Macaca mulatta: one gene and its partner. The protein of the gene in region 1 purifies or fractionates together with the protein of each later gene. This does not show direct contact. Links are inferred from orthologs where the notes say so. Each region holds a gene or a part of one and is shown on either strand. Other genes may lie near its edges.

Evidence for each region. The genes of interacting proteins can lie anywhere in the genome.
Region 2: the proteins of CLTA (region 1) and CLTCL1 purify together in Homo sapiens (co-immunoprecipitation; 3 studies listed by BioGRID and IntAct, with this or other methods). This does not show direct contact. The link is inferred for Macaca mulatta from reciprocal best matches to the Homo sapiens genes CLTA and CLTCL1.

What each region holds. Positions count from the first base shown.
Region 1 is NC_133420.1:63,449,141-63,453,433, forward strand, and holds the start of CLTA (clathrin light chain A), read right to left. Parts: upstream 2,807-4,293; 5' UTR 2,713-2,806; coding exon 2,496-2,712; intron 1-2,495. UniProt on the Homo sapiens protein: Clathrin is the major protein of the polyhedral coat of coated pits and vesicles.
Region 2 is NC_133415.1:33,476,249-33,479,897, reverse strand, and holds part of CLTCL1 (clathrin heavy chain 2), read right to left. Parts: intron 2,119-3,649; coding exon 1,981-2,118; intron 1-1,980. UniProt on the Homo sapiens protein: Clathrin is the major protein of the polyhedral coat of coated pits and vesicles. Two different adapter protein complexes link the clathrin lattice either to the plasma membrane or to the trans-Golgi network.

The DNA.
Region 1 (4,293 bases):
CAACTTTTACAAAGGAGAAAACTGAGGCCGGGCAGTGGTGGTAGTTATATACATTGAGATCACAAAGCTAAACTCACACTCAAGCAGTTTAGGATAGCATAGAATCTTTTTTTTTTTTTTTTTTTTTTTTGAGACGGAGTCTGGCTCTGTCGCCCGGGCTAGAGTGCAGTGGCCGGATCTCAGCTCACTGCAAGCTCCGCCCCCCGGGTTTACGCCATTCTCCTGCCTCAGCCTCCCGAGTAGCTAGGACTACAGGCGCCCGCTGCCTCGCCCGGCTAGTTTTTTTTGTATTTTTTAGTAGAGACGGGGTTTCACCGTGTTCGCCAGGATGGTCTCGATCTCCTGACCTCGTGATCCGCCCGTCTCGGCCTCCCAAAGTGCTGGGATTACAGGCTTGAGCCACCGCGCCCGGCCAGGATAGCATAGAGTCTTAACCACTGGAGCATATCCTAAAAAAAAAGAAAGAAGGAAAAAGAAAACTAAGAGAGAAAAAGTGTCCAATCAGTTCTCTAATCCCCAAAGGAAATGCTGACCACTGCATATTACCAACCTCAATTACACTGTCAGGAATCTGGCTTTAAGTCACCAAATGCTTAGTTCACTAAGAAAGTCCTTCCTAGGAACTAAGTCAGCAACCATTTCTTTCCTTCCCTTTGCTGAAGGCTTGATGCACAAAGGACGCAAGTATCCAACTCTATTCTCTTCCTTTTACTTTCCCTAACTGCCTGTCACCAAGATCTGTCAGTTCTACACAGGACCCTTGGATCTGACATTTTTGCCCATTTCTCTGTCAAACGTGAGCATCTACTACATGTCAGACACACTGCTAGGTAGTGGAGATAAAACAGTAAGGGTAACACTGTCCTTGAATCAGGACAATCTTCCAACTATAGATCTTGGGTCCTGCTTCTCCCAAATCTGTTCTACCTGGGACAGCCACAACTGCCTGTCTCTTACCGCACCACACCCCGGCTAAAACAACTAAACACTACAACAGAATGTGGTAGACTTGGGGCTCATCTATTAACTCGTGCTTTTTAAAGCAAGTTATTTCTCTCTAGGATTGTTTCTCTTCTACTAAACGAGGAAGGTAAACTAAGGATCTAAGAAGTCAATTTTAAAATTCTCAGACAAATGTTAGAGACCACCCAATGAAAATATCTCCTAATCACTTAAGGCCAACTTCATCTCGCAATCACAGTCCAGTTCAGTCCAACCTACTTGCTATAAAGTTGCATATTTGGGCATATTACATGTTCCCACTAAGTTCTTATTAGGGGACTGATTTGCTTAGGAAGCAACATGGTGCAGTCAAAAACTCAGAGGCTGCAAACTAGCAGCACCCTCCCCAATCCATCCATCGAAAGGTTCTGCCTGGCTGGCATAGTGACTTGAGATTGCTGGGTCTGAATGCCTTTACACAGAGCACTACTATAGTGCACCAAAGTCCCAGTCTCCAACACTTCTACTGTCTCATGTCAAGTCAGCTTCTCTCGTATATGTTACCTACTTGGCCCCTTAAGGTTTGAAATCAGATTAGTGTAGACACTACTCCTATATGCCCCAATAGTGCGCTATTCTCCCTTAGTTGGAAATTTTTAAGTGAATGAAAAGCCGTATTTCATTTCTTCTGGCTGAATTTCCTACTTCTCTGTATTATTAAATAGGTCTTTTCCACTCATGATCCTAAGCATCACACACAGGTAAGCATCCAAAAGTCAAACTGCCATCCTACCTGCCCCATTTTTACTTGAGTTTGGCTGAGAACATTCTCTATTCACCTCTTCATCCCTCCCCGATTAGTTTAGGCTAATCGTGGGTTCTACTTAGGCAATATTGCCTACCAAAGCTGTTCCCAGAGGGAGAGCTCCATAAGTCCTAGCTGTAAATCAATCGCTCAACCATGGTAAACTCCTATCCCGCTTGGCAGTTCTTTCTCCAGACCTAGACCATCTTTCCTGAGTTCCCTACTCACTCCTTCCTCCTCGTAATCCAACACTCTGTACACCTTAAGTGCTTAAATGCTGAACTGCATTGCTACTTTTGTTTGTATCTCTCAAAAAACAGTATTTCCATTCTTATTTTTTTTCTGCCCTCCTTTTCTAATAACTGGAGTTCTGTGCTCGGCTCAGACTTGCTTATAAGTCTGGAAAAACTGCGCCAATGCGGTTGCTTCAGAGACCGGACTAAAGGCACAGCAAGAGCTTAATGAAAAGTTGCTGAATTGAACGGGCTTCTTCCGGCTCCGAAGCCTGCCACCCTATACTTGCTTTCTCGCTCCGCCCGCGCCCAGAAGCACTCAAACACGCTGAGAACCGAGCAGGCTTCTCGAGCCTAGGTTTCTGCATGACTGGGCCAGGGTCTCGTTTCCTCTTTGCACTGCTCCCTAACCTCCTAATTCAGCAAGGAGCACAAGTCACACAGAACCTCTCGGACCCACTGTGGGCCGAGTTTCCAGACAAGTCCTCTCGCCCCAAACGCGACCGCACTCTCACCCGGACCCCCCGGCGGCTCGCCGTGCGGCTGGGGCCCGGGGGCGCCGCCGTCCAGGATGGCGAAGGCCTCGTCGTTCTCGATGCCCGCAATTTCGCTCTCCTGCTGCGCCAAGAAGGCCGCGGCCGGGTCTTCTTCGCCGGCGCCGGCCACTCCGTTCCCCAGCGCGGGACCGCCAGGGGCGCCAGCAGGGGCGCCGAATGGATCCAGCTCAGCCATGGCGGGTAATTCAACGGCACGGACACCAACGGTGAGAGAAAAATCAACCGACCCACCGACACCACACCCGGCAGCCACCGCTGTGGTGCCGACTGGGAGAGGAGGACAAGCGGGAGGAGGGAGAAGGGGGAAGCGGAAGCCCTACCAGTGTATCCGGTCGGTCTAGGCGGTGTTGGAGACCAAAAAAGGAACAACCAATCAGAGGACAGCAATGGTTCAGGAGCTACCCAATCAGCAAGTGGAGGGGCGGGCCCCCGAAAACAACTCGTGACTGGGGTAGCGCGGGAGGTGAAGGAGGTGAGCTGCACGGGCCCCGGGAGGCGGAAGTGCTGCCTGACAGGGAACGTCCTACCGTCCCGGCCTGCTGGAGCTGGACTGACCAGGGACGGCCACCCCTGAGGGGACTCGAGTGCTGTACTGGGAGGTGAGGTGAAGTTAGGCGGCGACGATTGGCCGATTACTAAAGAGGCATGCCACTTAGGCTTTCTGAACCTCAGTTTCCTCATTCTTAAAATGGAAACAAGAACCCTGCTCTTGCCCCCCTCCCGGGATTGTTAGAAGATTGAATCCTTAAAAAACGAAGAAGAAGAAGAAGATTGAATCCTTTTATGTGTTTGCCCTGGCTTTATAAATTTAAAATATTTAACTCTTTCAGCCAGCCTGGATTATTTGCTCCCTTAGAGCCCACAGATTTACTGTAATTGATTCAGTCCACTCCGATTTTTCTCGCCCATAAGTATTTTTATTTAAAAATGAATATATCTTATTTTCTTCAACGAAGCACTTTTGCAGCCATTACGTCTTTTCAGAGCTAGACAGAAGTTACTAAACCTGGAAAATTCCTTAAGGATCACTTGCTTCAAAGGGAAACACGGTGGCCCTGCTGTTCAAGGGGCGTCAGTCACCCAGGGAGTCAGTGACCAAGAGGAAACGCCTGTCTCCTGGGGACTTCCAAGATACTAGCTACAGTCTCTTGTGTTTACACCTTTCCTCGCTAAGGACAGCAGGAAAAAGAAAGTTCAGTGTTTCTTTTTAAATCGGGGAGATGTTAATAGCTACATGGCTGATTTTGTCTACACCGTAGAAATAACAGTGATTCCAGTTAATCATGCTCATGTTGAGGGGGTGCGCTGATGCAGGGGCCACCAGAAGACCTCCTTCACTACCACCACCACCTCCCTAAGAAATGAAAAGCCAAAAAAAGAAACCAAAAAACCAGCCAGAGGTCAACAAGAAGCTTCCAGAGATAGCAGGGGACAAGAAAGTTTTTTTTTTTTTAAAAAAACGCACATATCTTTGATGACAAAAAAAGGGATAGTTATGAAGGAAAAATGAAGCAAATAAAAACTATTTAAAGCCTATGTTTACTTAAAGCATAATTTTAAAGTCATTTAAAGTACGAGCTATAGGAAAGTATTGAAGAAAAACATTTAAGAAAGTTAAAATGTTAGGGTCTGCAATTGATTCTGTTTCCCCTGTCTGTTGTTTTGTGCTCATCCCTAACATACATTTTCAACAGTGCATGAAGTATTTTCACATTAGCCTTGACATAGTCTCATGAGGAAGAGAGGGGCAGGGACC
Region 2 (3,649 bases), on another chromosome or scaffold:
CAAGCCACTGCACCCAGCCACTAAATATTCTCTTTAAGTAAGTAATTTTTGGACTAAGACTGGATAGGTCAACACAGTAGCCTTGCAGCATGGCTGAATGAGTGCTCGCTCAGTATCTAATGCTGGTCTTGACTAGCTACGCTCCTGGGTGCCTTCCCTGCCACCCAGCACACTCTTTCTTATTCCTTCAAGGATCTGCATCACCAACCAGGTATGGCCAAACTGAGTGACCACAGCCCCTGTCACACACCAGACGACTTCAGAGTGATGCACACTTCTGGTTCCCCATAGAGTTGATGATCCAAACCAAGTACTAAGAGTAGGGCTTTAGAACACCTAGCACTTACCTGAGTCTCCTATCCTTTGTTTCCTTCAGGTTTATCTTTACTTCTTGTTTTTAAACATTTTCTCATCATAGCAACAGTGTATTTTAGAGAACTTAGAAACCATCATGCAGTCCCACTGCCCAGAGAAGACTGCCAGCATCCTGGGGCACTAAGCCAGAGCCTGCTGGCACCTCACCCAACTACTTGCTTGTCCTGCACCCCTTAAGGTCTGGGCATTCCTTTGGGTGTCTGCCAGGTTTCTGAGTGGCGCTTGGTGTGTTTCAAATCTCATTCACCAAAAACTATTACATACACTCACAAAGTCATGAGAGTCCAATAGACCCCAAGCAGCAAATTAACAGCACTTTAATTTCCTATAGTTGGAATATGACCCACTTCTTAGCAGCTAACCTGTGGATTTGAATAAATTGAGGTAACAGAACAATATACTTAATATGTTGTTTTATAATTATAAAAACAATAAGTGATTATTAAAGAAAAAACAAAAAAGAAGAGAGAAGTAAAGAACAAAGTGAACTTGTACAATCTTATCCACTTAGTACCGTGAACAGCTTGATACAAACTCCTCTAAATCCCTTTCTTGTATATATATCTAAATTTAACCCAAAATAGCACAGACATGTGATTTGATTATACCTTCCTCCCACAAGTTTCAGGCCAACAAATGATGCCTCACCACAATACCACTGCACACCCATTAAGATGATTACTATTATTATTTTAGACAGGGAAAATGTGTTGGCAAGGATATACAGAAGTTGGAACTGCTGAGCATTGCTGGGAAGAATATAAAATGGTGCAGCCTCCTGGAATACAGTATGGTGGCTCATCAAAAAGGTAAGCATAGAATACAATATGATCCAGCAAATCCACTTCTAGGTATATGCCCAAAAGAGTTAAAGCAGGGTCTCAAAGAAATCTTTGTACACCCATGTGAACAGCAGCATTATTCACAATAGCCTAAAGGTAGAAGCAACCCAAATGTTCATCAATGGATGAATGGATAAACACAAGTCATATATACACATGGTGGACAATTACTCAGTTTTTAAAATGGAGGTGTTTCTAACATATGCTACAACGTGGATGAACCTTGAAAATAATACGCTAAGTGAAAAAAGCCAGGTAAAAGGACAAACATTTTGTGGTTCCATGTATATGAAATATCTTGAAAAGGCAAATTAATAGAGACAGATTAGAATGGCAGTTGTCAGGGGCTGGGAAATGAGGAGTCACTGCTTAACAGTTACATAGTTACTCTGGGATAATAAAAAGTTCTGGAACCATATAGTGGTAATGGTTGCACAGTATTGTGAATGTTCTTAATGCCACTGTATCAGACACTTAAAAGTTGTTAAAATGGTAAATTTGGTTATGTATATTTTACCACAATGAAAAAAAGAAGAAAGAAAAATATGATGCCCCAATTATAACTGTTTCCATGAAAGTCCTATACCATGATTTCTGGAAAATTCTTTTAAGGGGAGTCATGGAGAATGTTCACTGAGAAGTACAAGATAAACATCTGGCACAAGCCCAGTCCAGTCCAAAGCCACTGTGCTCAAGTCTGCAAACCCACAGAGGGGTGCCACAGGTGCTCTGCCTCTCGGTGTTAGCCTACAATGTCACTGACCTGGGGTGCATGAACAAGGTTCATCTCCAACAGCCATGTCTGGAGGAGTCCCTCAGCTGGGCGATTATTCTTCAAGGCATCCAATAAGAAGGAAGTACACTGCTGAATTAAACTGTTTTCCATGAAAATGTCCACAATCTGAAACATATCCAAGCCACATTTTCACTCAGTGTGTTTTCATTCATAGTGTTTCATTTTCGTATTGAAATAGTTCCTGAAATATTATCTCATTATCTCATTTAGAAATTCAACAATTAGTTCCTTCCTTTGTTTTTTGTTTTGTTTTGTTTTTGAGATGGAGTCTCACTCTGTCACCCAGGTTGGAGTGCGAAGGCACAATCTCAGCTCACTCCAACCTCCGTCCTCCACCTCCTGGGTTCAAGCGATTCTCCTGCCTCAGCTTCCCAAGTGGTTGAGATTACAGGCACCTGTCACTACACCCAGCTAATTTTTGTATTTTTAGTAGAGACAGGGTTTCACCGTGTTGGTCAGGCTGGTGTCGAACTCCTGACAGGTGATCCGCCCGCCTTGGCCTCCCAAAGTGCTGGGACTACAGGCGTGAGCCACTGCTCCTGGCCCCTTTGCATTTTCTTATGTCATCACAATTCACATAGAGCCAGGTGTGGTGGCGTGTGCCTAGAGTCCCAGCTACTCAGGAGGCTGAGGTGGATGCATGTATTCCTTGAGCCCAGGAGTTAAGACTATTCTGGGTAACACAGAGACCTCATCTCAACAACAACAACAACACAATTCACGTAATTTATGGCCATTAATTTATTGATAATCTTGTGAAATCATATCACCTACATCACACCTATCAGTGAGGTATTTTACCGAAGTATATGAAAGGGAGTGACTTTTATAACATATGAACCCCCAGAATCCTCTCAAGTGATCCAAGCAGTAATCATACATTACTTAATCACATCCTAGAGGCAGCTGTGATGCTTAGCTTTAGGTGTCAGTTTGACTGGATTAAGGAACACATAGAGAGCAGGTAAAGCATTCCTTCTGGGTGTGTTTGTGAGGGCGTTCCCAGAGAAGACTGGCATGTGAGTTGGGGGACCAAGTAGGAATGATCCACTCTCAATGTCAGGGAGCACCATCCAATCAGCTGGGGGCACAAAAAAGGAAAGAACAGATTTCTTCTCTCTTTCTCCTGGAGCTGGGACTTTCTCCTCCTCCTACCTCTGGACATCAGAACTCCAGGCTTCCCAGCCTTTGGACTCCAGGACTTACCCCAAAGGCCCCCCAGGGTTCTCAGGCCATTGGCCTCAGACTGAGAGTTACGCCATCGGCCTCCCTGGTTCTGAGACTTTCAAACTTAGATTGAGCCACGCTACCGGAATCCAACGTCTCCTCTAGCTTGCAGACAGTCTATCACAGGACTTCTCAGCCTCCATAATCATGAGCCAATTCTCCCTCATATATCTGAGATGGGGTCTCACTCTATTGCCTAGGCTAAAGCAGTGACAAGGTCACCACTCACTGCAGCCTCAACCTTCAAGGCTCAAGCGATCCTCCCATCTCGGCCTCCTGAGTAGCTGGGACCACAGGTGTGCACCACCACGCCTGGCTAAGTTTTAAAAATTTTTTGGTAGAGATGGGGTCTCATTATGTTGCCCAGGCTCCCTCTCATATAGCTAGAGCTACGCTACTGATTCTGTCT